Rhinolophus ferrumequinum: one gene and its partners. The protein of the gene in region 1 binds, or shares a complex with, the protein of each later gene. Links are inferred from orthologs where the notes say so. Each region holds a gene or a part of one and is shown in the gene's direction. Other genes may lie near its edges.

The links.
Region 2: PARD3 (region 1) and PRKCZ share a complex: the UniProt entries of both Homo sapiens proteins name them as parts of the par polarity complex. The link is inferred for Rhinolophus ferrumequinum from reciprocal best matches to the Homo sapiens genes PARD3 and PRKCZ.
Region 3: the proteins of PARD3 (region 1) and CDH5 are in contact, whole or in part, in an NMR structure (PDB 2KOH), measured with the Mus musculus proteins. The link is inferred for Rhinolophus ferrumequinum from reciprocal best matches to the Homo sapiens genes PARD3 and CDH5. Residues at the interface, in NP_296369.2 of Mus musculus: Ala599, Gly600, Leu601, Gly602, Val603, Ser604, Val605, Lys606, Gly607, Arg609, Lys611, Lys622, Ile625, Asn655, Gln656, Met659, Arg663, Met666; in NP_033998.2 of Mus musculus: Tyr774, Gly775, Asp777, Gln779, Glu780, Glu781, Leu782, Ile783, Ile784.

What each region holds. Positions count from the first base shown.
Region 1 is NC_046288.1:5,597,070-5,607,390, reverse strand, and holds the start of PARD3 (partitioning defective 3 homolog), read left to right. Parts: upstream 1-5,717; 5' UTR 5,718-5,980; coding exon 5,981-6,100; intron 6,101-10,321. UniProt on the Homo sapiens protein: Adapter protein involved in asymmetrical cell division and cell polarization processes. Seems to play a central role in the formation of epithelial tight junctions. Targets the phosphatase PTEN to cell junctions.
Region 2 is NC_046292.1:900,731-910,107, forward strand, and holds the start of PRKCZ (protein kinase C zeta type), read left to right. Parts: upstream 1-5,167; 5' UTR 5,168-5,379; coding exon 5,380-5,450; intron 5,451-9,377. UniProt on the Homo sapiens protein: Calcium- and diacylglycerol-independent serine/threonine-protein kinase that functions in phosphatidylinositol 3-kinase (PI3K) pathway and mitogen-activated protein (MAP) kinase cascade, and is involved in NF-kappa-B activation, mitogenic signaling, cell proliferation, cell polarity, inflammatory response and maintenance of long-term potentiation (LTP).
Region 3 is NC_046298.1:16,358,517-16,368,131, forward strand, and holds the start of CDH5 (cadherin-5), read left to right. Parts: upstream 1-5,225; 5' UTR 5,226-5,274; coding exon 5,275-5,297; intron 5,298-7,063; exon of another isoform or gene 7,064-7,317; intron 7,318-8,607; coding exon 8,608-8,827; intron 8,828-9,615. UniProt on the Homo sapiens protein: Cadherins are calcium-dependent cell adhesion proteins. They preferentially interact with themselves in a homophilic manner in connecting cells; cadherins may thus contribute to the sorting of heterogeneous cell types.

The sequences.
Region 1 (10,321 bases):
ACTTTCCTCCTTCAGCAGGACAGGGTGGTGCGGGCCCTGCAAGATTTTGGGCTGGTCACCCAGGTAGGCCCACAGCCCTGGAGGCACTCTGGGAGGGTCCTGCAGGGTGTGTTTAATTTCACCACAGTGACTCCGGCGAAAGCGTTCCCTTTATTCATCTTCATTATTTCAGGATTTGAGAATTTCAACCCTTTTATCTTGACAGGGTCAAGAAAAAATATATTGTTCCAATTATCAATGCATTTTTTTCCTTTTCCTCTTTACTGAATGAAACTGCTTAACCACATTTGTTAAATAGTCTTTAAAAGCTGATTCATATCCCCTTGCCAGAATTTCTGTAGAACTCAGATTTGTCTGAGCATTGGTGTGAGGTTTTATGTGAATTCATTTCATCCTTTTCCTTTTAATCATCAAAGGTTAAGTATCCTCTGGGAGAGGAGAGTCTCACTTCTTAAGAAATGATTAAAATCATTTCCTTGATCTGCTCCCATTCTCACATCATTTTCTCAAAGTTCTTTAGAGTTAAAAAAAAAAAGAAGAAGAAGAAAAAGACGACTTGCAGTATTTTGTGTTCCTGGTAGAACCCTGCCCACCTTGAAAAGAAAGCAGAATGCTCTTCTACCCAGCAGAGAATCTTGATTCAGACTCTGAAATTCCAAAAACAGCAGTCATTTCACTACCTATACCTCTGGTTTCCTCAGCAACTTAGAGGGTCAGCACTCTAGGCCTCTCTAGAGAACTTGCCTCTGAACTTGGCTCCCCAAGATTCAACTGAAAGAACTGGTGTTTATAATGAAAGCGTCGCATGGAGACACCTCTCCACACTCCTGGATGCTCTGAGTACTGCTGGACCACCAGCAAGCAAGCGGCTTGGCTGCTTGTTTGACCCTCTTGCAGATTTGTCTTCAATAGAGTTAAGTTTTAACATCACCAGCTGTGCCAGCCTCCACCCTGAAAAAGATGGGCTGTCTCAGCAGGCTGGTGCCACACTTTCCTGTTGTTTCTCGGCATTGGAACAGGAGAGCAAGAATGGGGTGCACACTTTGACGACTGCAGCTAATTTGCCAGTTGAGGGCGACCTGGAATATTTTTGAAGGTGGGGACTTGAATACATATGGTCTGTTGGGGGGATAAAAGTATATCCTACCCCATCCTGTAATCACAAGCTGGTGAGTCGGGTGCCACTGGATTACATTAGCCTCGAGGGTGAAGACACAGCATTGGATGCAGGGGAACGGAGATGACCTGAGGAAGTCTGTTCTGTACAATTACTCCTGTTTTGAACCAAGTCACTCCCTGTACTTTTCATGTCTGATGACTGCTTTCAGCAAGTTGAGGGATCAGGAGGGCTCCTCCTCTTTCTTATTCTTTTCCTTTTTTTTCTCTTTCTTTCACTGGCATTACTCTTACCCATATAAATCATATGAGCTCATGCTTCATTAGAAAAAAATCACTGTTTTTAGACTTATGTTTAATGAAGCACAACAGAGAAGCTGTACTGAGCCTGAGTGTAGTTCTTATTCCCCTCAATCTTTGCAGTGTACCCCAAACACAGCTATACTATTATATGATTCATATCTATGTATGTCCAGAAGCCATCTTTCCTCCGCCCCTCCATATTCATTCACTGATGCACGTACTCATTCGTCAAACACTTACTGAGTAAATAGCATGCGTCCGGATTTGGGAGAGCAATTCTGGGGAAGTTCTGTGAACAACAGTCTCTGCCCTCAAAGAGCTCAATATATTTGTAAGTTCCTTGACGATGTATGTGGCTTCCAGCCATCAGCAATCCCATTCCCCGAAGCTCTGCTGTCCACTATGGTAGCCACTAACCACAAGTAGCCATTGAGCTCTCTTACAATTCAGTGTTTGATGAATGGGTGAATGCATGAGTGAATAAATATGGAGGGCTGATTCTGATCGAGATGTGCTGTAAGTATAAACTACACACAAAATCATGAAGAACTAGTAGGAGGAGTAAGTGTATGAAAAGTATTCATTAGTATTTTTAAAATGTTGATTACATATTGAAATGATAATATTTAGGATATAATGGTCTAAATAAAATAGATTATTAAAATTAATTTTATCTGCAGTTACTGGAAGATTTAAAGTTTACAAATGTGGTTCGCTTTAAGTTTCTCTTGGACAGCTTTACTCCAGGTGACTTACTTCTACCTTTCTCCCTCTATCTCAGAAGGAGTGAACATCTCCCGAGTGTACCCCCACTATCCCTAATATGAATCACCTATCATACTCTGTTCACATCTGAAACCTTTTCCAGACTGGGCACCTTTTGAGGGAGGAACTTACATACCCAACCTACAGTTCAGTGCTTGGTATAACACAGGCGGGCAGTAATTATTCGGTGAATACTGATGCAATTCTTTTTTCAGACTGACCTTGTGTGAGGTTAGGCATACAAGATTGTTAACATGATATTAAGTATAATATTTATGACTGAGTGAAATATCCTAGAGATAACTTTAATTTTCAAAGTATGACTGAATTTTAAAAGTTCCTGTAAGGGTAAGATGTTGAGTAATAGAATACCATTCCTACACATGTGGGGTGTGCATTTATTTCATGGAGCACCTGAATGCTGCTGGATATAGTTGAAATTATAGTCCATGTTGTCACACCTGCTCATTTGCAGATGGGCACAAAGGCCAGGTGGATCCTAATTAATCCTTGGAATGCTCTGGGGTTTCCACAGCCAATTGAATCAATCAACTGTAAAAAAGTACGGCAAGTAAGATAAGGGTCATAAGTTTTCACCTGAAATATGAAGAATTTAATAAATACATAAGAAAATATTTATGTAACATTTGTCTCTTGACTTGGATAATTTTGCTTCTCTTTGGGACTAGGTTTGCTTTTATGCTTTTATCAGGCCAGAAGCAATTTGGTTAAGCTGAATACTTTGCAGATGTGAAGGTAGTCTGGCCCCAATGTAGCTTTATGGTTAGATGTTGGGCATGTATATTAGTGCAAGTAGATTCATTATTTTTGAGGACATGTTATGAATTTGACTCAAGACACCAAAGTGTCTGTTACCTAAAATTAACACAGCATTAGTTTTCCATCAATTATTAATGTAAAGGGAATCACTATATCTAGATAAACTAGGTAGATTTATATAAAGCTTTATCTGGTTAGTTGACTAGACATTATAATTATTAATCCTATGAATCATAGTTTTGAAAAATTGTCTAAATCTTTATTAACTATTGAATAGTGGAAGGAAACGATGTGAATAAGTGGTACACTTATATTCTGATGTTGCCTTTTATGACGGCAGGCTTCCCTCCCCAGGAGTGTCATTAACATTTTGTGGGAACTTAATATTTAATGTCTTGAATTAGTTATTAGAGCTACCTTATTCTAACCTCTATATTGTCTTTTTCTTACTCACTTTTATAATTCTGTAATATTTAGCCGGTGCTTTCCACATGGAAGGCCTTCTTTAATTGCATGTGGAATCTAACTGAAGTGAACTGAGTACAGGCCTGAGAGTCAGGAGCCCTGGTGCAGTCACCGAACAGTTGTATCCCCAGGCCAGTCTTTTCTCTCAGCCTTGGCTTCTGCTCCCACTGTTCTCCCTTCCCCCAATATCATCATGCAGCTGCCCTGTCCTGACTTTGTTACCCTTCACCCACATTATGGTTACTGGACTCAACTATACCACACATTCCCATGTGGTGGCATGTACTAAATGTCTTAACACATTGTTTTATTTAATGCTCATAATTTATGAGATGGAGATCATCAACTCCACTTTTCAGGTGATAAAACTGAGGCTGGAGAAAGATTGAACACCATGTCTAAGGCATTAGTAAATGGTAGAGTCAGGATCTGAACCTAGATCCGTGTTATGTCTGATGTACTCTGGATATTCCTGAACTTGCCTTTTAATCAGAATTATTTTGAGAAAGCCCCACTTTAAACTAGTGTATTCCTTCCTCCCCAATGCATTAAAACAGAAACATCTATAATTATCAGAAACTGTTGTTGTGAATCCAAGTATTAATACAAGAAGTAAGAAGACCTCGACAAGAGTTGCTGTCACAAACTTAACTATTGGGTTGAAAGGTTGAACATTGCAGCCACATGGAAGAGGAATATGATGAGTCTTTCCCATGAATGTGTGGAAGGAAACCTGGATTTTATTTTTGGGTCTGTGTCAGCTTTCTCTGTGGTGTTGGGCTAGCGACTTCATCACTCTGTCCTTATCAATATCCTGGGGTAAGATGGGGATGATGACACATAGCACTTTCTTATTGCACTGGTTTGCTAGGACAGATGATTGACTAGATTAGAGGAAGTACAATGTTTCATATCACATATCACACTGTACCTGGGGCAGGGAAAGGTGCAACAATTCTGGAGAGCAGATGGATCACTTTGTCCTGTTTCCTTATTTTAACATGAGAGGTGGAGTGGGATGCATGTATGGTCATCAGCTCTTCCTGTTCTAAATGCTGAAGTTCTACTTGAGCTCACAGAACCTGTTAATTGCTTTCACATATTCTAGAAACAACTGGCAAAATGAATTTACTATCGTTTGGGACACACACATGGCCAACGACACTTAACTGTCATTTGCTATTCTTGAAACACAATAGCATACAATTATTAAGGAATCGCAGCTTACAGCTAAGGCAGACATGAGCATCAGTCACTTTTCTTGACTTGGTCTACATTCTTTTGAAAGGTCCTAAGTCCCAGAGGCACTTACTACGGACTCGTTTTTCTTTGGGGGTGGGGGTAGTGGTGCAGCGGACGCATGGTGGAGATGCCCTCTCACATTTATATTGGTCATAAATTTGCGTTAGGGTTGCTTGTGTTGCAGATTTTAAAGAAATAAAATGATTAGTATTGCTGATGTTTAAGTTCTACCTGTGGAAGCGGGTGGGTCACCACGAGCTCACAGGTAACTTGAAGGTAAATAGTGGCCTCAGGAGCTAGGCCGATCGAGTCAAAGCCTCACCAGCCGCTCCGTAGAGCAGACGATTAATTTTTGCTTTTAACGCTTAACAAGCTCTTCCAGGCCTTGTAGCCCAAGGAGCGAGCCAGTGCAAAACGCTGCCAGGCTGCGGGAGTGGGTTAGGAGTGTGTGTGTTTGGAGGGGGTGGGGGTGGGGGTGGGTGGGTGTCGTCCGCGGCGCAAGGCCCCGCTGGGGGAAGAACCTCCTGTCCCAGCCCTTCCTTCCCAGTCCTCTCGGGGGACTTGGTGACCACTCCTCTCCAAATATCTCGGCACCCTGAATAAACTGCTTTCTCCAGAAGCGATTCACCCGGAACCCTCAGTCCGACGAAGGGGATTAAAAGTGACAAAGAAAGAGGGGCTCCAGAGAGACTCGGGGGCAAGAAGCAGGCATCCCCGAAGAGGGCTGGTTGGGGCGAGAGCAGCCCGCAGCACGCCTGGGTCTCGAGGGGCTGGAAGGGACGAGCGCCAGGATCGAGGGTCCGCTGAGCAGAGCGCGGGCGCCCGGCAAGGGGCGGGCCGAGCAGCGGGGGTCCCGGGGGCGCGCTCCGCCCCGCGCGGGGAGCGGCGGCCTCCCGCCGCACGTGCGCGGTGTTGTGCGCCTCCGCTCCTCCCCTCTCTCCTCTCTGTCTCTCTCTCACTCTCTCTCACACTCCCTCCCTGTCTCCCTCCCCTCGCCGCCGTCCCCTCCCCCGCCGTCCGAGCGCGAGCGCCGCATCGCCGGGGCCGCCGCCGCGGAGCGCGCGAGACGCCGAACAGGTGGCCAGAGCCGCAGGCGCCGCGGCGGGAGAGGCGAGGCGAGCCCCGGGACGCGAGGGCGGCCGGGTCGGGCATGCGAGCGGAGCGGCCCCCGGGCGCCGCCTGTCCGCGCCCCTAGCCGCCCGTCCAGTCGGCTGCCCCGCCGCGCCAGCCTCTAGCCTCCGGCGGTAGTCGCTCGGCGGCCGTCTGCGAGGGGCGCGGGGCTCGGGCTGGCCCTGGCGGTGGCGGCGGCATGAAAGTGACCGTGTGCTTCGGGAGGACCCGGGTGGTCGTGCCGTGCGGCGACGGCCACATGAAAGTTTTCAGCCTCATCCAGCAAGCGGTGACTCGCTACCGGAAGGCCATCGCCAAGGTGAGGGGCTGGGGGCGCGGGGCGCTGGGTGGGGGCGGGAGAAGGAGGGGGAGGAAAGGGGGAGAGGGAAGGCGCCGGGATCAATATGGCGCTTCCTGGAAAGGGGAGGAGGGAGACGAGGGAGGCGGGGAAAGGGAAAGTGCGGCGGCCGCGGCGGCCTCGAGGCGCCCCTCGCCCGGGGCTCCTGGCCGCAAAGTTCTCCGTGCAGCAGGGCCCGCGAGCGCAGCCCCGACGACCGCGCCGGGCCCCGCGCCCCTGGGCGGGACGCCGCCCGCCTCTCCCCGGGGCTCCGGCCGCGGGGCCGGCGTGGTGACAGGCGCCCCTCGAGCTGCCCGAGGAGTGGAGCCGAACCCCGCGCGCGGCGCGGGCGCAGCCGGCCGGGACGCCTCTTATCGGCCGCAGCTGCTGCAGCGGTTGAAATCCAGCCCCAGGCCTCTCCCCGCTCCCAGGCCCGGCGGGCAAAGCTGGGAGAGGGAACTTTTTTGGTGGGAGGAGAGTTTAATTATTCCACACTCGCCGGGGAGTGGCAGCGTGTCTGCTGCTTCCACTGCCTTGGGTCCCGGCCGGGAAGGACCGCAGCGACGAGCCCTTCCTCCTTGCTTCCGCGGGCGGCCCCGTGTTTGGGGGCTGCTGGAGGGGGTCTCCCGCCCGCGGTGGGAAAGGCGGCCGGGATAGAGACGCCTGCTCCTCCAGCTCGCGAGTTTCTTGGCTGAGCACAGGATCTCGGCGATTCAGTTGCTCCTGTGCGAGACTCCTTTCAAAGTACAAGCCTGAAATCAGTTACTGAATTAAAAGTTTTCCTGCAAGGGCCTCAGCGTTTACCTATCTGGAACTAGCTCCATATGGTGCCCACGCTCCGCAGCCTGGGCCTGATTTCGGAGTTGAGTAGATTTCCCTTTTTCTTGGTGGAGTGATAACATTGTCTCCACTTAACTGCATGCCGATACAATGTGTCAGAAGTGAAAAGGCGTTTTGTTAGTTATTTTATCTGCTGTGTCTGTTTTACAACAGCCCATGCCTCCGAAATTTCTCTCAAGCACCTGAGGATATGTCCTTTGCAGTAATCTTTGGTGGAAAGCATATTCAGCTTAAAAATTTTCCATTTGTTCCTCCTGATAGTGGAGAGTCCTGGCTCCTGGGGGCATTGGTTGGGGCAGCAGGTGTGGGGGAAGAAGGCTTTGTCAGCCCAAGTGTATACAGGGCACTCAGAGTGACATCCCCCAATTTTCTCTGATATTAAGAGGGAAAAACTTTTTTACACTATTTTTTTTAGTACTTATAGAGAAAAACACATAAATATAGTGTTTTAAAGATAATCTTGGGGACATTTAGGAACCTGACACAATGATGGAAAATGTTGGCTTTAACAGCTCTAAAATGTTCCTTACAATTGGTTAAACTCTTAATGGAAAACCAAATAAAATTAGTGGAAATTTGGCACCTGTTTATCTTGCAGTGCTGTCCAGGGGGGAAATACCCTCTAAACCTACATTTAGCCTTTTAAAGGATTGTTTGTGAATGACAATTTATGTGAATATTCTAAATCAGAAATCAGTTTCTCAGGAAACCAACAAATAAGTCTGAAAGGAAAGAGAAATACAATGTTATATACTTTGCAGTATCTCTAGGTTCCTGATTGACATTTCCTTGCTCACATGCTTGAAATTTACATGTTTAAAATTAAAGTTACTTACATGATTAAACACATGCTTAAAATCTGTCATTTTTCATTATGCATACAATGAACATTGGTTTAATAGCCTGTTTGGGAGACACAAATGTGGTTGTTTGATTGAGTCATTTGTTTGGTCCACAGAAATTATTAAACATTTACTATGTCCAAGGCATTGTTCTGGTTGCTGGATATCTAGGGGACCCACTGGCTGGCTGCTTTCTGGAAATTGGATGTAAGAGTCTAGGACAAGGGGCTCCACGGCCAGCCCTTCAAGTGAAAGAGGCCAGTGGTGTGGGCTGGCGTGTTGTTCAGTGGGGAGAAGAGGATAGATACCTCCTGGATGTTGGGTAGATGGAGTTGAGAGGCCTCCGTGATAGATTAGGACCTTTTTAAAAAATATTAGTGGTGGTTGTTTCACAGTGCCCTGTGAGCACAGAAAAGGAAGTGCAGTTTTCTTGAGTGAGTCTGGGAAGCACTCCAAAGAGAAGGGGCATATGAATTGAGTTTTGAAGGAAAATACTGGGGATGCCAAAAAAATGTATACAAGTGGACGCTTTGGTCAACATTGCTCAAGCAGTAATTCTGTCTCCAGAAGTGTCTGGACGCTGATGATAACCACTTTGAGCACCTCTTGTAATTGCAGAAGTCAAATGTGACTTGTAGTCATCTTTTGTTATCGGCATATATTGAGTATTACAATTTTAATAGATTTTTCCCTTTCTTAAAATGTGCATACATTTTTTGGCACCCTTTTTATGATATTACCAGGTTGGGAAGGAAGGAAGGAAAGAAGGAAGGAAGATAGATTTTCAGGGTGGTGGTAGCATTGGAATTGGATAAAGTGAGAGGGAGAAGTCAGCTGATGCAGGGGTTTGCAAAATTATTTAAATGTTCTTTAAGTGCAGCTTGTTCAGCTGCACTGAATTTTAGGATGGGCTTTGCAGCATACAAAGTTCTGTCATTGGAGCACAAGACTGTTGAACCTCAAATGTTGCAAGAACCTGAGTATCTTGTAGGTACATTTTTATTTTTTCCTTTTAAGTTATCAGGTAATGGTTACAGTTAAACTTTAGTCCTTTCCATTTCTCTTATCCCATTTCAAATGATTATGAAGCAAACATATTAACACTTGTTTTAACTTTTATTCTCTTATCTCTTCCTTACCCCCTTTTGTTTAATAGAACAAGATAAATTTTGTATGAAGAATTGGGTATCTGGGAAGCTGTAGAGTGGTGTTTAGGTTGCTAGGTGACATGTGGCATGATGAACTTCCATCTGGTGGGGGAAAATGTGGGAAGATCATGTTTATGGCTTTGTATAAAAACCAACTAAGCCAAAGGGAGACAAAAAAGGATAAGAGAAAGAAAGATCCCAAGTCACTATGGCTTTCTCTGCAGTAAGCATTTTGGGCTAATTTTTTGGCATTATATTTGAGCTGTTTTCTCTTCACGTTTAACAGATCAATTTTTCTGGACAGGGGAGTGGCATGACTTAATGCTAGAAATGTCCTCAATAAGCAAATATTTGAAGGCTTACACTTAGTTATAGCATTTTTTCTTCCTCTAGTGAAAAAAGGGTATTTCTCCTTAGGATCGCTAACAGGTGAAAATATTTTGGCTGTTATCTCTATCTACCCATCCACATCCAGACCCTTTCAGGAAGGTGCTCAGCTGCCTGCTGAGAGCCACGTTACCTGGACTTCTCTCCAGTGCTTAGAAATGGAGGAGTGATTGCCTGCGTGTGTCTCTTCGCCTCTTGCCTGTGGCCTGACTCATCCATGGTTCCTGGTGGACACAGAGTGCAGAGTGCCAGCTGCAGAGGCTTTTTAGTGTGGTGTCCTTAGTTTCTGAAGGCGTTACTAGATACTCCTTAATTCTGAGTGACTCAAGGCTGGCCATGAGTGAGGCTTGCCGTTTTTCCCCTCGAGCATCTAAATTCTGCTTAGGAGAAAGATAAGAAAACCTCTATCTTTATTTTAAAATAGGCTGCTATGTGCAAAATGTCATGCTCTGTAAAGAAATAGACTAAATTCTTGCCCTAAAGAAGCATATAATCTAGGAGACTGGACGATTATATAAAAGTATAAATAACAGTAGGTGTTAGCATTAATTGGCAGCTGGGTGGTACTGATAGTAACTGATTCTGGATTTCAGAGATGGGAGGGGTGATTATTGCAGTGGGGTGGGGGTGATGCCATTTAGTCAGGATGGTTTGCATAGGGTTTAGTGAGTGGGAAGGGTGGCCTTGATTTAGGGTAGTGCTTCCTAACTGGGTAGTGGAGTGACCTCACAAAGCACCTTCCTGGCCAAAGATGTTTTGGTTCGGTGAGTGCAGTGGAATCCAGGCATGGGAAATCTGGAAGAGAGTCTGCTTTCATTCTGAGAAAGGGGAGGGAGGGCCTTCTAGGATTGGAAACAGGTGAACAGTGTGAACGAAGGTGTTTTGGACTTTCAGGGCCCTTTTGGTTCTTGTGGAGCATTCATGTCAGATGGTGGGTCAGGATCAAGCCGAGGAGGATTGGGAATGGCAGGGCAGTGCCCTGGGAC
Region 2 (9,377 bases), on another chromosome or scaffold:
ACACACACACACGGAGAACTACACACACACACACACACAGACACACACACACACACTCTCTGTATCCACTGAGGTCCACTCAGCTCACAGGCGCCCCCCAGTGGTCTTAAACAGGAACACTTATCTAAAGGGTGACGACACTGAACAGTGACCACATGCACGAGAGACAGGAATGGTTCTTGGGGAGCTGAGGGAGGCGCCCACGGAGGGGAAGTTGGAGGGTCTCCCTCCCCAGGCTGGAGCTCGGCCCAGGTGTGCGAACTCAAGGCCGCGCAGAGCCTCCCACATCCGCAGCCGCACCCCCCACTCACAGCGCAGCCCGGGAAGCAACAAGCCCCTTCCTCCGGCCTGGCTCTCCCGCGCCCTCTACTGGGAGCGTGTAGCGCTGCGCTCTCGGGAAGGAGGGATGCTCCGCCTACCAGCGGCTGGTGTGTGGGGGGCAGACAGGGGCGCTGCCCAACACCCTGCGGGCGCGGGCCACCCCCAAGTGCCAGCCGGGCTGAGCCTCCCCGTGGAGGAGCTCCACCTGTAATTACAGGTGGTAAGTGGTGAATTTGGAGCTGAGAGGCGAGAGTAACTGACACGTGGACTCACAGAAACACAGATCCACACCCAGGCCCAGAAGCCCGCAGACATGCAGACACCCCTCTCTCCCTCTCCCTCTGGACAGGACCCTGCACAGCAGCAGGGACCCACCTTTTCTGAGAGTTTTCAAGGCCACGTCACTGGCTCCCTGCCTCCCCTTTACGTGGCCCACAAGGCCCCTGGGGTCTGCCCCAGCACTTCTGCATTCTCACCTGTCCCACAGCTCCACACATCCTGCTCCCTGAGGCCACCAGGCCTTTGCGCAGGCCAGCCCTCTGCTCTCCTGCTCTCCTGCTCCACTTCACACATCCTCAGACTCCACAGCTGGCCCCCGCCAGGACCTGGTCAGACCCTGCTCTCTCTGACAGGGCTGCCATATCTGTGTGACCCAGTGACAGTGGCCTGTCCCCCGCTTGGTGTCTATGAGAGAGCAGCCTTATCTGGCTGGCTCACCCCTGCATCCCGGTACACCTTGGGGCACCCAGCCAACACCCGCCGAATGAATAAATAAGCGAGTGCAGTGAACGTTGTCGCTTGCACCAGTTTCTCAAAATCCCGCGACTTGTGACAAAGAAAGGAAACTTCTGCTGCCCATTCTGGGCTCTTCCTGTGACCTGCTGGGTCCTCGTGGTCCCCGCCGGGTCAGTCTCACACCTGCCAGGATGACCAGTGGACCCCCCTACCCCCAGGTGACAAGAGGGCACAGGGAGTGCTGGTGGCTTCCACAGGCGTGTCCCCTGCCCGGCTGGGTCTGTCCAGGGAGGAGGCGTGTCAGGACTGGAGGGTTTCTCCTCGGCCCACATCCTTCCGTGATGTGGGATTTTACAAGAAGCCCGTGCCACTTTTACAATCACTTAACAAAAACACATCTTTGAATTTTCATTTGGAAATAAGAGGTGTTGGTGATTATGAAAGTATATGAGGTCTTTGTGGAAAATCTGGGCAAACAGAAACTGCCCAGAGGTGAAAAGGACCCTCCCTCAGCCACTGGGGCCCTCCTGGGTCTGTCTGGGGTCTTGCGCTCAGGTCCAAGGGTCACCTTCCTTCTCCGCCCACATGGGTTGTCCTTGCACCCGCCTTTAAGCTGCTGATTGCAGAAGGGGAGAGGTGTAACTCTGCCCAGTGACCCCCAGAACAGGGCCCGTGGTCCTAGGAGGCCGGCCTTGTCCCAGCACTTCCAAGGGGTCTTCACCTATTCGTTCATTCATTCATTCATCCATTCATTCATTCCACTGTGTGCCAGATGCTCAGAGACATGGGGACACAATAGTGACCCCGGCTGACTGGCTCCCAACCCCCATCACTTCTGGAGGGGCAAGTGGTCTGAAAATTGGGGAACAGACACCCTCCCTGGTCACCAGAGTACAGAGCAGGTGGCAGACACAGTGACAGCACTGGGTGCCCAGGACATCACAACCTCACTCTACCCTTGAGGCCTTAACAGGGGTGGCTCAGCGCCGGTGGCCACCAGGAAACCCCCGAGGTCACCCGCCCCCAACCTTTGGAGGTGGTCTGAGGGCCTGGGCAGGTGGGGGCCTTTGTTTTGCAGAGCTAGTTGGTGGGCAGAATGCAAAAGTCCTGGCCTCCACCTGCTCTCAGGGGACCTTTTCTGGGCACCGCAGGCTACCCTCACTCCGGCCTGGGGCTCGATGTGGTCCCAGAGCCAGGCGTGGAACCTCCCCCCCAGGATGGCCTCCTGAGATAGGCACCTCCATTCCCCAAGCCCGCGGAGAACAAAGCCCTCCCACCCCAGCTCTCTTCCGAACTTCCCCTGCCAGGATTGGGGACTGCAGTGACCCAGGTACCAGCCTCCAGGAGGGAGGCTCCCACATGGCAGCTGAGGCGAGACCAGTGCCCAGGGGACACTGGATGTCAGTGGCTCCAACCCCAACAAGGCTGTCCCGGTTAGAAAGGGCTCTGGGGTTGTACTTGGGCTGTTGTGTCCACTGGGGCCTTGGCTAGGGCATATCCGAGAAATGGTGTCCCGTGGAACGGCCACCCACCAGCCCGTCCTGCCTGCTGTGGGCATCAAGCTCTGGACTCCTTCCCTGTTGGGCCACGCTTTGAGGCAGAAAATCAGAACACCCGGGGATGCTGTGGGATGTCAGATGGCCTGTGCCCATGAAGTGCAACCCGTCAGGAGTGCCCAAGGCTGTGGGGACAAGACTGCAGGCCTCGCATGGGGGTGGGGTTGGGAGGGCTGCACCCCACACATTTGCCTCCTGGGCTGCCGCTCCCATGGCAGATTCCTGCTCATCCCTCACAGGGTAAACACTCGTACCTGGTTCCCCTTCACGTCCAACTGAAAGTCATGGAGCTCTGTGCCCAGGCGGAGGGATGCAGCGGTCACCCCACAGGGGGGAGGCGGGCAAGCGGACTGATACAGGCATCAGGAATGGTCAGTAGAGACTCAAAGGAAGTGTGGGTTTTGGAGAAGTAGCTCCTGGGAGAGGGAAGAGTGGTGAAAAGGCCCCGAGGTGAGCAAGAGGCAGGAATGTGGCCAGGTGGCCAGGTGGGCTGAGCCAGTATGAGGATGGTGAGAGATGAGGGCAGAAGGAAATGGGACCCCAGTCCCTGCAGAACCTGGGGTTTTTGCCTGTGATCCATGGGGGATCATTGGGGATTTTGAACACCAGGTGGACACAGACTGACGCATGTTTTAAGGAAACTGGAAGCTTCTGCAAAAATCCCAGTGCTGAGGGTGGAGTGGGAGGTGGCCGTGGAGGTGGCAGGACGTGGCTGGAGTCTGGACCTATGTTGAGGGTGGAGGGGCCCGGATTTGCAGCTGGAGGGGAGTGGGGTGTCAGAGGCAAAGGGAACTCCAAGGTTTTTGAGTTGAGCACCTGGAAAGGAGGGGTTGGCATGACAATGAAGGAGGTGAAGGGCATGGTGGAGGGAGGTCTGCTAGGATGAGAGGTTCAGGGGAGCGGGCTGAACTTGGGATGGCATTTGGAGCCAAGGAGGAGGGGTGGGGGAGAGAGCATCCTAGGGTGAGTTCCCAGGGGATCATCAAGGGTCAATTAAGAAAAAGTCTGAGGAGTGACACAGGAGTCCCGGTGGAGGAGGGGCTCAGCGAAAGTGGCAGGAGAAAGTGGGGATACGGACTGCAGATGGCTCCTTCCTGACAGGAATTTTGTAGTAAAGAGCAGAGAAATGAGCAGGTGGGTGGCAGGGTGTGGGGTGCAGAGGGTTTCTCTAAGAAGGGAGAATTCACAGCACCTTAAGTAGGTGAGAGATGGGCCGTCAAAGGGCTTCTCTGTGGCCATCTCTAGGAAGAACGTGAGCTCTATGACCACTTGGTTCCCCAAGGGTCCCCCCAACGCCTGGCACCCAGGAGGCGCCAGGAAGCATCTGTGGAATGAGAGAGGGTGGGAAGCCCTTAGGATTGTCCAGGTGAGGAGTGGTGAAGGCTTAGCAGAGACTGCGTCAGAGGTTGCCAGCTGGGTGGAATGTGGAAGGGGGGGGAGGCGGCCGGAGAGTAGCCAATGGAAGGACCGGTTTGGCAGGGGTGGCAGGGATGGGGGCTGCAGACCTATGAGCCTGGGATGCCCACCTGGCGCCCAGGTGAGGTCCTGCTAACAGCACACGTGGGTCTCTGTGGACGCAACGAGTAAGGGGTGGGTTCCTCAAGGAAACCCAACCCCACATTTAAGGGCGGGGGGGCTAGGCTGCAGGCCCTTAGAGAAGGCGTGAGCCGTGGATAGTGTTCAAATGCAACCGTCCAGATCAAACGCCAAGGTGGACGTTGTGGATTCAGAAATGAAGGTCATGGGCGACCCCGGCAAACGCAGTCTCCTCGTCCCAGGAGCAGAGGGAGCCGGCTAGCGAGTGTAGACAAGCCTCCCCTGCAAGGGGATCTTGGATTCCACGGTGGAGGAGGGCGGCTGGGGCCCGGACAACCATCGGGGCCTGGCCCCTCTCAGCCGTGGTCTTGGCCGGGGTCTCAAGACCTCGGTCTCCGCATCAGTAAACTGTCCGGACGCGGGGCACTGGGGATTCGGGGTCGGAGCTGCTGACCCACACTTGTCCTCCCCGGAGGCGGACCTCTCTCTGGCCGCCCCCCGCCCACGTCACCAGCGACCCCCTCCTCTCTGTACCCCAGACCAGCGCTTGCCCTGGAATCACCCGGGTCTTGTTAGTATAGATGGCTGGAGTTTCGATTCAGCGAATCTAGACCCGAAAGTTGGCATTTCCAAGTTCCCGGGGCGTTGCAGCACGGAGACCCCACGTAGGAATCGCGGGCACCGGAGCCCACTGCACCGAGGGGAACGCGCAGGGCGGCTGCTGTCGGAGTCCCCGGCCGCCGGAGCCGCCGGGGGTTGCCGGGCAGAGCCGGGCCGCGCGCGCTCCCATTGGCCGCAGGTGGACCGCGCCCCGCCCGACAGGTAGTGTCCCCGCGCCGCGCCATTGGGCCGCGGCCGCGGGGTCCCCCGGGGATTGGCCCAGGTGGCGGCCCCGCCTCGCCCTTATTGGCCGCAGGTGCCACCGCCCCCGCCCCGGGACCGTCCGCCCCACCGATTGGCCGCCGGCTGGGTCGGCCATGTTCGGACTTCCCCCCCGCGGGGCCTGACGCCGTACTCCGCGGGAGCGCGCCCCCGCCGGCCGCGCCCCCTCCCCGCCTCGCGCGCCGCCGAAGTTCTGCGGAGTTGGCGGGGCCAGTGCTTCCCGACCCCGCGCCGAGCGCTCCCTTCCGCGTTCCGCCGCCGGCCCCACCTGACGCCGGGCCCCTGGGGGCCCCGTGCCATGGCCCGAGCGTCCTGGGCGCGGCGCTGACGGCGGCCGGCGGAGCGCGCCATGCCCAGCAGGACTGGCCCCAAGATGGACGGGAGCTGCGGCCGCGTCCGGCTGAAGGCGCACTACAACGGGTGAGCCCTGGCGCCCGACAACCGCCCTGCGGGGCGGGCGCGGGAGCAACCCGCCCCGCGCAGGTCGTCGGGGGCCGTGTCGCCGCTGCAGCGGGCGGCCGACAGCCGGGGGCTCCCGGTCGCGGCGCGGGAGGGAAGGAACGGCGAGGCCCCTCCGGGCCCAGGGGCGTCCCGGGAGGTCCTGACGCGCCAGCGCCAAGGGGCGGCCGGGACGAGGTTTTCCTGGGCTCGGACTTGCGGGGGGGACTCCGCGGCGCGGGCGCGGGAGCCGGAGGCAGGCGTCGCCGAGCGCTCCACGGTCCTGGGCAGTGTTGACATTTTCCCTGGAAAGTTGGCTAGGATACTAAGGCCACAAACCTGTAAGGATTCAAGTTTTTGTCAAATTGTGAAAACTGCTGGCAGACTTTTAAAAATCGGGGTTTCCTAAATTTTCTCAATTTCCGCGGCCAGAGATCTCAGTTTAAGGAAAGTTTATGACCTATGCGAAGGCCAGGCGGTTAGTCGCCGGTGTTTGCACGAATGCCGGGCGCCTGGAAGGGCTCGGCGCGGTTCGGTTGAGACCACACCTTTCGGACACTGACCAGCCCTGCATCCGCGCACGGCGCCTTGGACTCTACCTGCCTCGCTGTGAAATGGGGCGAGTCGGCGCCTCACAGGGGTCAGTGGCCGGGAGCGCTGGACACTTGGCCGCCGAGCAGCCCTGGTGGGGACAGAGCGGGTGGCGTCCAGAGGCCGGGAGCCCGCCGCCACCCCTTGCGCGGTGTAGACAGCGCTCTAGGAAGAACTAGGCTCTTTGCTGCTGCCTTCCACCGGTGTTGGTCTCCAGGAGTCCCCAAGTCGGACCTTGCTGCTCCCAGGGTCACCACTGCCCGGTGGGGGTGGGCAGAGCGGAGCGCCGACCCCACGGGTGAACTTGGCGGTTGCAGCTGTAGTAGCATGGAGTGGGGTCTGCCCCGTGGGCACAGCGCTATGGGCACCGCCCTATGGCACCGCCCAGCGAGTCCTCAGGCTGAGCAGGGGCTTTGGGTTGTTGACCTGAGCGTTTCTTGTTTCTGATCTCGGGTCAGGCCTTTCCTGTCCCCTCGGTGCCCCTCAGCCTGGTGGAACGGTGCTGGGGGGTTGGTGGCAGAGCCCCAGGGCAGAAGGATTTCTGGGGGCCGTGCTTGCAGGCCTTTGTGAAGAGGCCCTGAGTTCTATCTTTTGGCCAGGAAGGGTGGGCTGCGATTAAAGCTGGTGGGGTGTCAGCTAGGCCCTGGCTCTGTACCCGTCCACAGGTTTGAGCTTATCCACCGGCTTGCCCGGGGTAAACTGTGGATCCACTGTGGAGCATTTGAATTGAGCAACCGGCCTTTGTGAAAATCAGAGATGGTGCTCGATGAGAAGATGCCCGCACCCAGAGCGGCCTGGGGGTGGGGTGGGAAGCAGACCCTACAGCCTTCCCCCAGGACAAGTTCCAGGAGGCACCTGTAGGCCTTGAGCTGTGGCGTGGGGGCCACAGTGGAGGCAGGTCCTGGGGAAAGTTCAGCAGACCTGGGGGAGTTCTGGGGAAGCCGCCCCGCCCACCACGTCCGCTCCCCTGGCTTTGGCCCCGGGAGAGCGATTTGGTTACCAGGAGTAATGTGACCTGTTGAGCCTGGTTTCCTCAGGCACAGGAGGCCACGCCCCACCGCTTTCCTCTTCGTTCCATTCCAGCCTCTGCTCCTTCCTCCCCTTCACCCATCCCGTCCCATCCCTCACCTCTCCCCCCTTCCCTTCCCTTCCCTCTTCCCCTCCTCCTCCTCCCGCTGCTCCAACACTCCTCTCCCTCCCGCACCCCTCTTTTCTGCCAGCTGTGCCCTCCCTAGGTTCCTTTGCAGGCCCGGCTCCTCACTTCCTCCCAGGCCTGCTTTTCCTAATGGGCTCCTGCACGGGGGCGTCACCCAGGGAGCTGGAGACGCCGCTGTCTGAGTTGGGAGACCTAGTCCTCAGAGCTCCACAGTGATGCAGGTTCCAGAAAGTGCCCGCCAAGGCCCGGGCTCTCGCACAGACCCCCCAGGTCCAGGTGAAATCCCGCCTCTGGATGAGATGCTGCTGGTCCCTCTGGGTAGGGGGTTGTTTGGGGGCAGCCCGGCCAGGGGCCAGACACATTGAAGCCGCCATTTTTAAAAAGCGGGGGAGGCTCTTCAGCTGCCCCTCTGGTCACCCTTCGCATCCCCTGAGACCTCCCAAGGCTTGAGATCAGGGTCTCCCTCCCCTCTCGCGGGGCCTTTAGAGGGTGTGTGGTCACCGGAGTCTGAGTGGGGTCTGGCAGCACCTGTGTTTTCCATGGAGTTTTCAGGGGGTTTCCGGTTGATGCTTGGGGCGTTTGGAGACCCTATTCTGCCGGGCTAAACCTCACATGGCCACTTTTCTAAGGTCAGAGAGATGACTGTGCTGGGTCTGCCCTCCCTCCAGCTCAGAACGCGAATTGTCCAGGACCTGCGCCGTGCGAAGCCCAGGCAGGGGCTGTGCTCTGTGGCCTGACACACCTGGGGTCCAGGGAGGGGCCGTTCCGGGCGGTTGGGTGCTCTCTCCTGGTCGCCGGCCCAGGGCTCTGGCTTGCTCAGAGGGGCTGCTGGATTCAGGATTGGGGTGAATCAGGGGTGGGGGTCAGGGGCCTGGTGGGGGTCAGGGGCCTGGTGCCTGTTGGGGGTGGGGCCCTCCCCGTGGTGCTGCAGTCCTGCCCAGGAGGGGAGGCGCCCAGTGGCTGCGAGAGGCTGTGATGTGTGAAGACGAGCCCAGCGCTCCGTGGTCCAGCCCGATGTCAGGCACTTCCCAAGGGTTGGGGTTCTGGGGTTTTTCAGGAGCTGCCCACGTGGCCTCTAGGCCCTGAGGCATTGGGAGGAAATACTAGCTTCCACTTGGGAGAGGTTCCTGGGGCAGGCAGAGGTCAAAGGTGAAGGGGTGGCTGACTCTGACTTCCAGAGCTCCCAGTGGCAGGAGGACTGGTGGACACTGGGTCAGGTGACAGGTGTGCCGGGCAGTGTGAGTACCAGGTCTGGTGACTCCAGGGTATGAGGTAGGCGAGGGTGGGAGCTTCGTCTCTGGAGCCCCCACTGATGAGCCATGTGGCCCCTTTATGCCTTAGCTTCCCCGTCTGCTGAGATGCTCAGGCTGTGGGAAAATGGGCTGGGTTAGCCCTGGTGGAGAGCTTGGGGTACTGGGGGCAGGTGCTGGGGGAAGGGGTGGGCAGCAGGGGCCATCTCCTGGAGCCCCCAGGGTGACTGAGGCGTGGGGCTGGGCCCTGGCTTGCTGTGCTGAGCCAAGGTGGGCGCCCTGTGGATGGAGCCCAGATCCCGGTGGCGCTGGATTTATTGCCTTGGGAACAAAGTCTGCATAGACTTGTCTCATGGAGTTCAGAAGCCAGCGGTGTCAACACCAAGCAGACCCTATACTTCCATGGCTTGTGACCTTTCAGAGCCTTTCAGATGTCTTTGTATAGGCTCTGCCCTCTCGTGTCACATTGTCAAATGTGGGTACATTTTCCCCACAGCTTCAGTGTTCCCGCGCGGATGGTGAGGATGTGATTCCTGCTCAGACTTTCCCTCTGTGGTGGGGGGACAGGACTGGCATTCATGGCGGGAGTGGGAGCAATGCCCCCTCCTTCCCTCCCTCCCTCTCCCTGGGGGGGTCGCCCCATCTCTGAAGGGCCAGCCCTCAGAGGGTGACCCTGAGCTGTATGCAGACATCCAGCTTTAGCATCTCACTTGGGATGGGAAGATAAAAGGCAATGACATTATGTGACTTCCTTTTCACACACACAAAAAAAGTGCCTGCAATTATGTTACAGCCTCACCACAGGCCCCTGAATGGTCGCCCCAGGGTTTAAAGCAGCAGCCTGGGCTGTGTCAGTCCATTCTGCGCCCGCCGCCACCCCAGGTCCCCCTCCTCCTGCAGGTCTCCTCCTTG
Region 3 (9,615 bases), on another chromosome or scaffold:
TTCACTGAGTTATACCAATTACTGCACCCACTCTGACCACCCGAGGTGTTGTCTGCAAATAATTCAGGTTTGTTTTCAATCCTGTGAGTGAAGAGGGAAGAGTGACAAGACCAGGACTGGAGACTGAGGCAGGCTGACATGCATCAATGGGAACACCTGACCATCAAGGGCCGGGGCCTTGCGTTCATGCAGCTGGATACTGGATGAAGTGGAAACAGACCCAGAGCCTGCCTGCTCAGAGGCACGTGGGCCAGGAAGCACAGGCTGTACTGGGGGCAGGAGTCAATCAGAAGACCTCATGGGGGAGGCGCCCGGGGCTTAAAAAGAAGTAAAGCATTCACCCAGGGGACACAGCAAGGAAGGGCATTCAGGCAGCGTTGGCCGTTCACCCATTCTCATACCCATGGCAGACATCACTAATCCACCATAGTGTTCATTCCCACTGAACTTGAACTCAGCCCCTGAATCTTCAATACTGTCTTTGAGGTAGATACTTACCAATTCACTAGAGCTAGTTTGCGATTAAAAACAAATTTATGCTGGGGTCTCTGGGATCCAGGGTCATCCAGAGGAAACAGCCTGTGCAAAAAGCCTAGAGAGAGGAAGACCTGTGCATCCCAGAAACACCTACTTCTCCTCATGACTGGAAATGGCAAGGAGGTGGGGGAGAGGAGAGCCAGAGTCGTGGGCAGGGGACACGCCGTGCTGGCTCAGGAACCAGCTTCATCCTGCTGGAGGTGAGGAGCCAGGGACGGCAGTCAGCAAGGGAGCAGGGTGGTCAGCTCTCAGCAGAGTTAAGACGGGGCTGTTGGTAGAACCCTGAGGGAAGGGGATCAGGTCTGGGACCCACAGGAGCAGGTCCCTGAGCCAAACTGAGCTACGAACCAGGAGAAAGTCCCAAGGGGCCAGCTTGTAGGCTGCCCAGTCCCACCCCCAGCACACCCCATCCCCAAGGCTCCCAAGGCCTCACCCTTCATTCACACGGTGTCTGTAGTTGCCAAGGCCCAGCTGTAAATGCTGGGGTTTGAACAGACAATTGGGGAGTTCCTGACGGAGTTTGGGGATCAGGAGCTACAACCTCAGCCCTGAACTGAGGTGTGTGGGGGGATGGCATGGGAGGGCAGTGCAGAGAGCTGCTCAGGGCCACACAGGGAGCAGGGGCCCAGCTCGTCCCCTCCTACAGACACACCTCTTGCGTGCTCTGGGCCCAGCCCCTCATCCCTGACCCAGGGCCTCTGGGCCGGAGTCCAGAGCCTGCAGGAGGCTGGGCTGGAACTGAGCGTCCCGTCCACTCTCTGAAGCTTTGCTTAGGGTTGGGCTCAGCTGCCAGGTCTTGTCCCAGCTGATGGTGGGTGTGCTGGGTGGGAACAGAGGGGCCAGACCCACAGAGCAGAGACTCTTCAGGAATTGGCGTGGGCAGATGCCTGGGGACAGGGGTGTATACTTGTGAAGGCACAGTGGAGGGTGGTGTGTCTGTGTGGTGTGTCTGTAGATGTCATGCATGTATCTCTGACCTGGAGGCTTCCTCTGCCCCACCCCCAAGGGCCCTCCAGCCTTCTCAATACCCCCCCCCCAAAAGCCTGAACTTAGCCCCTAAAACCTCAGGCTTGAGCAGGGTCCTGGTCAGGTCAAGGAGCAGGGGTCGGCCCAGTGGTCAGGGGCAGGACCAGCCTAGGGGCATCTGCCAGGCTGCCCCACTGAGCAGTTCCCAGCTGGGTCCAGGCTTCCCAGAGTCGATTTAGCTACAAATGGAGCAGTTCCAGCCCCTCCCTTTGTGCCCCCTGTATCCCCCTAGACTCTCCTTTTAAAGAACACAGAGCTGAGCAGACCTCACAGCCCCTTCCAGGCTAAATCTCAAGGACACATGGGGGCCACAAAAAGAAAGAGAGCAAAGGGAGTTTTGCCTGATCCCACAGGGGGACAGAGACAGGCAGGACTCACTCCTGGAGTGAGACCCTCAGACCAATCTGGGCCGCCCCCACCCCGCCTTCTCACCGCTTCCTGCACTCCTCCATCACAGTCTGAAGGTCTATTTTTTATCAAGAGGTTATTGTCCATCTCCCCCACCGGGATGCAGCCTGTGTTTGTTCCCCAGGTGTGTTCATTCTGTGCCGGCCACATAGTTGGTGCACTATGTTTGTTGAATGACTGTGTAACCCCAGGGCCCTAGAGAGGGTTTCAGAAAAGTGATGACATGGGACTAAATCCAGGCAGAGGAGAGAGAACGGCAATACAAAGGTGGAGAGGATGTGACCAAGCCTGGCGTCTAGGTTCCGACCTCAGTGGTCCCACTCACTGTGGACACAGACCCGGATCCGGGGCGTCTCCAAGGCCCCAACCTGCCATCCAGGCGTGGGTGAGCCCAACCACTCCCCAGGTCCTCCCAGGCTCCTCTGCCCCTTGTTCTGGGCTCCATGCCCGCTCACCAGGGTCTCTGGGCCACACTCTGTCTTCTCATTGTGGGTCCCCCAGACTTTCCCAGATTGACCAAGGGCACAACCCCTTCAGGTTCGCCAGCTGGCCCACCTCATCCATGAGTCCATTTGGAGTTGCCCCCAAAAGTCTCCAACATGGCTCCAGGGACGGGCATTGTCACAATCCTAGATGACAGGGACACAGACAGGCACCTGGTCAATGCGTGCGTGGCACGCACATCTGAGCTGCCCAAAGAGCAAATCCCATCTCCCCTCGAGGCAGTTGTTGGGCAAGTTGCCAGGGCTGGCTGCTCAGCTGGGAATTTCTGAGCACAGAAATCTGACCCTCTGCACATCTGTCACACCCAAAGCCACCCAGCAGCACCTTGACCTCTGAAAACTTGGTGACAGCAACCAAGAGACGTGACTCCTATTTGTAGGGCGGTAAAGGGCTGAAATAAGTCTGACCCCGCTGTGGCTCTGACTACACCTCCAGAGATGTAGCCACGGGAAATGCTGCTGCCAGCTGTGGGTACAGCAAATCCTCTTGCCTGACTTCCTCTCCCTCTACAGCAGTTGGAGGTGAAATAATTGTTAGACAAAACCATTCCTCTTGGCCCCCATTTTGGTGGCCAAATTTCTAACACAAAAGGCAAAATAACACAAATAAAATGTAGTTTTTCAGATGGAAAAGACCCTAAGGTCCCGCTGAGATTGGATGTAGAAGGAGCGTGGGATTTAGAAAAAGATAGATCTGAGAGGTAGTGGGGAGTCCCAGGTCTAACCCTTCTGAGTTGTTTGTCTTGAGCCTCAGTTTCTTCCTCTGTGAAATGGAGCTGATAATTCCTACCTCCGGGGGATAATGTGAAAACTGAATGAGATGGTAGCTATGAAAGCCCAGCATGGAGAACAGTTTATTATTATTACTGCACATGAATGTCACCACAGAGAGGGGCACATGATGGAAAAAGCACTATGTGGGGTGAAAGGCAGCCTAAGTTCAAATCCTGGCTCCGCCTCTTGCTGTGTGGCCTACGATGACTCACTCCACCTCTCTGAGCCTCACCTGCTAAATGGGATTACTGACAACTACCTTATAGTTTGCAAGGTTTAAATGAGACAATGTGGGCCACTGAGGAGATACTCAGGAACGTCAGCCCCCATCCACCACCCACGGCCAAAAAGTGCTGTCTTGGAAGAGCCCTTGAGGGTCCGGGATGGGGGCTGGCGATGGGATTTTGTGAGCTTCGTCTCCCAAAGGTCCTCATCTCCAAGGTCCTGCCTCCTCACTAACTGCCACTGACAAGACAGCTGAGCATGCAGACCTCCCCCCGCCCCCTCCCCCCAGCAAGTGACACACTGGTGTGGTGGGGTGGCTCTGGAGGGCAGTCCCAGTTCTGTGTGCCAAGGGAGTTCTCTCCAGGGCCCACCGCAGAGCCTCTGCTGGACACAGAATGGATGTGCACATTCAGATCATACTTTATATGTGGGGCCAGACAAAGCCCCTTGAGGGGTTACTGTCCCCTGTGTGCCATGTGGCCGGAGCCTGTGACAGGTGGCCTCGGATTTATTTAAGTCCAGCATGGTTACATATTTGTTTGGCTGATGGATGCTGTCAGCCCTGGGACGTCGAGCTCATCCAAGCAGGCCCCCCCAAGAGAAAGCTGTGCTCCTCTTCACTGGGGCAGACAGGTCCTGACAGGAAACAGTATTTACTCTGGGGGCTCGGAGGGATTACTTACAGAGCCGGGAGCTCAGCTAAGGGAACAAGGGGGACACTGAGGCACGTGGACACCAGCAACAGTGGAAGCCGTTACCACCCAGAGCCAAAGGCACAGAGGAGGGAGGGTTGTTTCCAGAACCCAGTCAGGGCCAGGACCCTGGAGGGGCTTCCCGCCCACCAGGAGCTGTCAGCCACAGCAAATGGTATGAACCAGCACAAAGAGCCAAAGGGAAGAACTAATCCCGCTTTCTCCTCCCATCCTGAGAGCTCCTGCTGGAGCGCCTATTGGCCAAACACCAGAAGCCAGGGCCAGAAAGCCCAGGGGTCAGCCCCTCGACACAGAGCAGAGGTCAGGGGAGGCGTGGGAGGACTGGATCTGGCAGGAGGGGACCTGCAAATCCCTCCACCAAGTGATGGGGTGTGAAGGAACAAGAAGGGTAAGTAGAGTCCCCGAGGGAGCAGACCCAGTGGCAGTGAGAATCCACACACCTTTGGTTCCATTTTTAGCTACTGCTTATTGTCCACGTCACAAACATTTTCTAATTCAACCTGAAGACAACCCTGAGAGGTAGATGCTGGTGTTCCCACTGCACCAAGGATGAAACAGGCTCAGAGGGCTGAAGTGTCTTGTGCACAGTCGCTTAGCAACAAAGCAATGCAACGGAGGTTCTGCAAACTACAGAGGCTGCCGTCATAGCCACCACCCCGCACTGAGTGGGCCCAGAGAGCAACGATCCACGTGTGACATGTGGCTGAGCCTTGAGTAGGGGAGACATAGCTGGGGTGAGAGGGAAAGATGGTCTCCAGGAAGCAGAGGAAGCTCTGACTTGAGCCCTGCCCTGGGGCCTGGATGTCAGTCCAGTGGAGGACGTCGGGAAAGCAGGGCTGTGACGCAGGGACCAGGGACGGTCCCCAGAGGACTTGTCCTCAACTCTGAAGGACAAGTTCACCAGACAGAGAAAGAGGCAAAACCGGGGGTGCTGTCCTGGGGTCACTTCTCTTCTCCAGCTACCTGCTCTCCTTACTGTTCCACCCTCGCAGTTTGAACACCGTCCAGACACAGTGACCAGACACAGTGACCAGACGGTAACTGCAAGCTCCCCCAGACTCCAGGCGGGTCTCCAGCAGCTGCTGGCCATGACCACAGAGACCTCTCATAGGTAACTGCAACCTGACACAGTCCGCACAGAACTGTTGGTTTCCTCCCCACCAACACGCCACAGCCCCGGCTTCTGAATCTCAGGAAAGACCCTGCTGTCCCCCCACTGCTCAGGCCAGAGACTGGGAGCCCTCCCTCATTCTTTCCCATCCCTCGCCCCCACTTCCCCTTCACCAGTGAGTCCTGTTAACTGTACCCCAAAAATAGTCCCCGTGGCCATCCCCTCCTAAACCTGGGCTGGACCACCATCAACTCTCTCCTGTATGACAGTGACGGGTCACCCCTCGCCCAGCCAGCCCCCTCCCCACAGCTGACTGCACAATTAGACTGCATTAGTTGCCTACAGCTGCTGTAACAAACCTCCCCAAACACAGTGGCTTGAGACAATACAAATGTATTTATTTGTTACCTTGTAGTTCTGGAGGTCGGAAGTCTGAAACAGGTTTCAGTGAGCTAAAGTCAGGGCTGTGTTCCTTCTACAAACTCTAGGGGGGAATCCATTTCCTTGCCTTTTCTGGTTTCTAGAGGCCACCCTCATTCCTTGGCCTATGATCCTGCATCACTCCAACCACTGTTTCCATTGTCACATCTCCTTTTTCCTGATTCTGACCCTCCTTCACCTTTTAAAAACCTTTGATTACATTTTGTCTACCCACATGATCCAGGATAATCTCTCTATCTCACGATCCTTAACGTAATCATATCTGCCACGTACAGGTTCTTGGGAGGAGGATGTGGACATCTGTGTGGGTGGCACCATGCAGCCTACCACACTGACCTGGCCACCTCTTCTTGTGATCTGCCCTCCCTCATTGTTCATTTGTATCTGACCCAGGGACCTCCTTTGCTTCTTCAAACACACTAACCATTTTTCTACCTCAGGGCCTTTGCACTTGCTGGTCCTTCTGCCTAGAATTCCCTTCCTTCCCCTGGCGTTTCTAGGACTAACACTCAGATGCTGTCATCTCTATGAGAGGCCTTTCCTGGCCTCTCCATCTCAACCAGCTGCTCCCTCGGTCTCTGTTGTGTCCCCCATTGTAATTCCCTGGGACCCTCTGATCACTAGCTGATGTTTTTCCTCATTTACTTATTTTCCCGGTGTTCCCACTACAGTGTGCACTCCCTGAGGGTGGTTCTTGTCTGTCTTGCTCACTGCTGTACCCCAATGCCTAGCATGGGGCCCAGCATACAGTAGGTGCTCAATACCCATCAGGGTTCACACCCTGTCCTGCTCAGAAGCCTGAAAAGTACCTCTCTCTCTCTCTCTCTCTCTCTCTCTCTCAGGTTCACTTCTGTTTGTTTCATTTTCTCATTTTCGAGTCACTTCTCATTTGAGGGAGGAAGAAAGAACTAAGACTTGCAGTTCCTTTCTAAGCAAAAAAGGAAATGACCCACCAGGCTCGGGCCCAGCAAGGCTGGGGCAGGGGTCACGCCCGCTGCCTTCCCTAAGTCAGAACCAGCTTCCTGGCCAGGACTCCCAACCTCCCCGTGGCTTTGTTCACTCCCTGCCTCGCGCCTGGAATGGCTGCCCTTGCCACACCCACCTCAAAGGGAACTGGATCTCTCCCAAGTCTGTCGCCTCATTTGTGACTGAGGAAAGTGAGAGGCGGAGGCAGGAGGACCTTGGAGGCACATGGTACTTGTATTTTGGGGCCTGCTCTGCTCCACCCCAACCCAGGAGCCCACTTCCTCCTGGGCCAGTGGCAGGGGACACAGGATGGGAACCTCGGATGCTAAGATCAGCAGACCCAGAGAACAGGCTGGCCCAGCACAGACAGACACCCTCGGCCCTCACTGAGGCCAGCCTGGCGCCAGTGTCACAGAAGAAATGTGACTAGAGTTTGGAAACCTCCTGTGATGTGCAGAGTCCAGCCTCTCCCCTGGGCCAAAGCAGGGGACAGTCAGGGAGGGAGTGGGCCTCCTTCCAGCAGCACCCTGTGAGTCCTCGTCTCTCCAGGCAGGAGCGCTGGTCCCACTCCCACCACCTGCCTCCTTCCCTTGAACCATCCCACACGCCACAGGTCAGTGACACAGGGACCCAGCAGGGGTGGACTGAAGGGGTCAGGGCTGAGGGCACAGTGACAGCCAAGGTCAGAGCCTCCACCCACTGTGGGGCAGTGGGGAAAATCCCTCTCCCTGGAATTCAGGAGGACGCTAGGCCCCCATCGATGGGGAACCCAGATCCCAATCTGGGCTGATCCCATGTCCCGAAGGCTGCCTTGAAAGGCATGGACCTGGGCAACCACAAGGGACCCTGTGCTTAAAAGGCCCCCATGCCTGCTTTCATGTTCTTCTGTCGCTATCTTGAAATTCTTAATAACTTTTGAACATGGGACCGCACATTTAAATTTTGCAGTGGGCCCTGAAAATGATGAAGCTACTGTAAGCCCAGCCTCTCAACCCCCACACCACCCACCCCTGCTCTGTTGACAGCTCCTGAACTGATAATCTCCCATGAATTCTGGGGGTGAGGTCTGACCCTCTGGGTTAACACACTTGGGTTTCCTAAGAGCCGTCTGAAGACAGCATCAAAGCCACACTGCTACATGGGCTCCAAAGCTGGCCAAAGGACATGTTTATTTAGAGGAGCCTTGAAATCCCATGTCATAGCAGCTGCTGGGAAAAGAGAGAGCAGTAAGAAAAACCATGAACTTTTGGACCAGACAGACTTCCTTCAAATCTTGGCACGGCTGCCTACAGTCTGAGTGATCTCAGAAATGTTCCTAAACCTCTCTGTTCCTCCGCTCATCTGCAAAATGAGGGATACAATTATACCCACCTTGAGGGTGATTGGGAGGATTAAAGTGAGACAACCCATTAAGTGCTTGGAACAGTGTCAGGCACTTGATAAGTGCTCGATAAATGTTAGCCGCTGAAGTCAGACTCTTGGGATCCATTGTCAGCCCCACCACTTGCTCCAAGCTGAACTGCACCTCTCTGTGTGTGGGTTTTCTTACGTGTAAAATAAGGATAACTGGGTGCCCACCGCACAAGGTTTCGGGAGCTACCATCAGCATCACCCTCTCGTCCGGGACGCCTTCTCCGCAGCCCTCCTCTGGGCTCTCCCTTCGCCTGCACTTGCTTCCACACCAGCACATGTGACATGAAGTACAAATTGTTGCTGTGCCTGTCTTCCCCTCCCAGGCTGGGAGCTCTTTGGGGGCAGGAACAGAGTCTGGTCCTGCTAGGATCGGCAGAGGGTGAAGGACAAAGGAATGAACAGATAAGGGGGGCTCGTTTGTCCCTGGGAGCTGCTCACACCCCAGCATAGGGACCAACAGGCCCTGACGGTGTTTCCTCTCTGTCCCCAGATCTGTGCCTCTTGGGAAGATGTATGTGCTCCCGATGCTTCTGGCCGCAATGGGCACCTGCCTGTGCCTGCTGGTGGCAACTGCCACGAGTGCTCACGTTGCCCAGCTGGACACTCCCAGCATGCTACCCACCCTCCGGCGCCACAAGAGAGACTGGATTTGGAACCAGATGCACATCGATGAAGAGAGAAACGCGCCCCTGCCCCATTACGTGGGCAAGGTAAGGCTCAGGCCCAGAGCAGGCGAGGCCTCTGCAGCAGGCGGGCCGCAGTGACGGTAGTAAAGACGGTGACAGGTACTGGGGCGGTTGTAGGGGTGGGGATGATGGTTGTGAGGGGATGGTAATGGTGGTATAGATGGTGGAGGTGGTAGATGTGGCGGTGGTGGTGGTGGTGATAACGGTGACAGGAAGGGGACGTTGGCAGTGGTAGTGATAGTGATCATGGATGTGACGGTGCTGGTGCAATGGTGGTGGCAGCGATGGGGATGATGATAATGGTGGCGATGAAGGTGATGGTGAAGAGGAAGGTGGTGGCGGTGATAGTGACGGTGATGAGGAGGAAGGGGCAGTTGTTGCCGTGATGATGAGAATAGTGCTGGTGATGGTGATGGAGAAGAGGAAGGTGGTGGTCGTGGTGATCATGGTGTTAATACCGACGGACGGGAAGTTGGTGGTGGTGATCACGGCCGGGACGCTGGTGGAAGCGATATTGAAGGCTATGGCTCATTTTCTCCCAGATCTTGGTCCATGGACCAAATATCACTGGTAGAAGGGCCACGTTGGGCACAGGCTGAGGAGGCCAGCCTGACCTTGGGGTTCAGGGCTTAGGGCAAAACCAGCCAAGGCTGCCATTAAATTTTTCCATCTGAGAGGTCCAGAAAACCTAAGCAGCCTTCTACAAAATCATGCTGGTGATAAAGCTAATTGGCCAGGCCATAGTTTGCCAACCCAGGTCTATGCCTTTGAAATTCCTCAAAAAACCCTTTCTCTCAGACAATCCCTCCCTA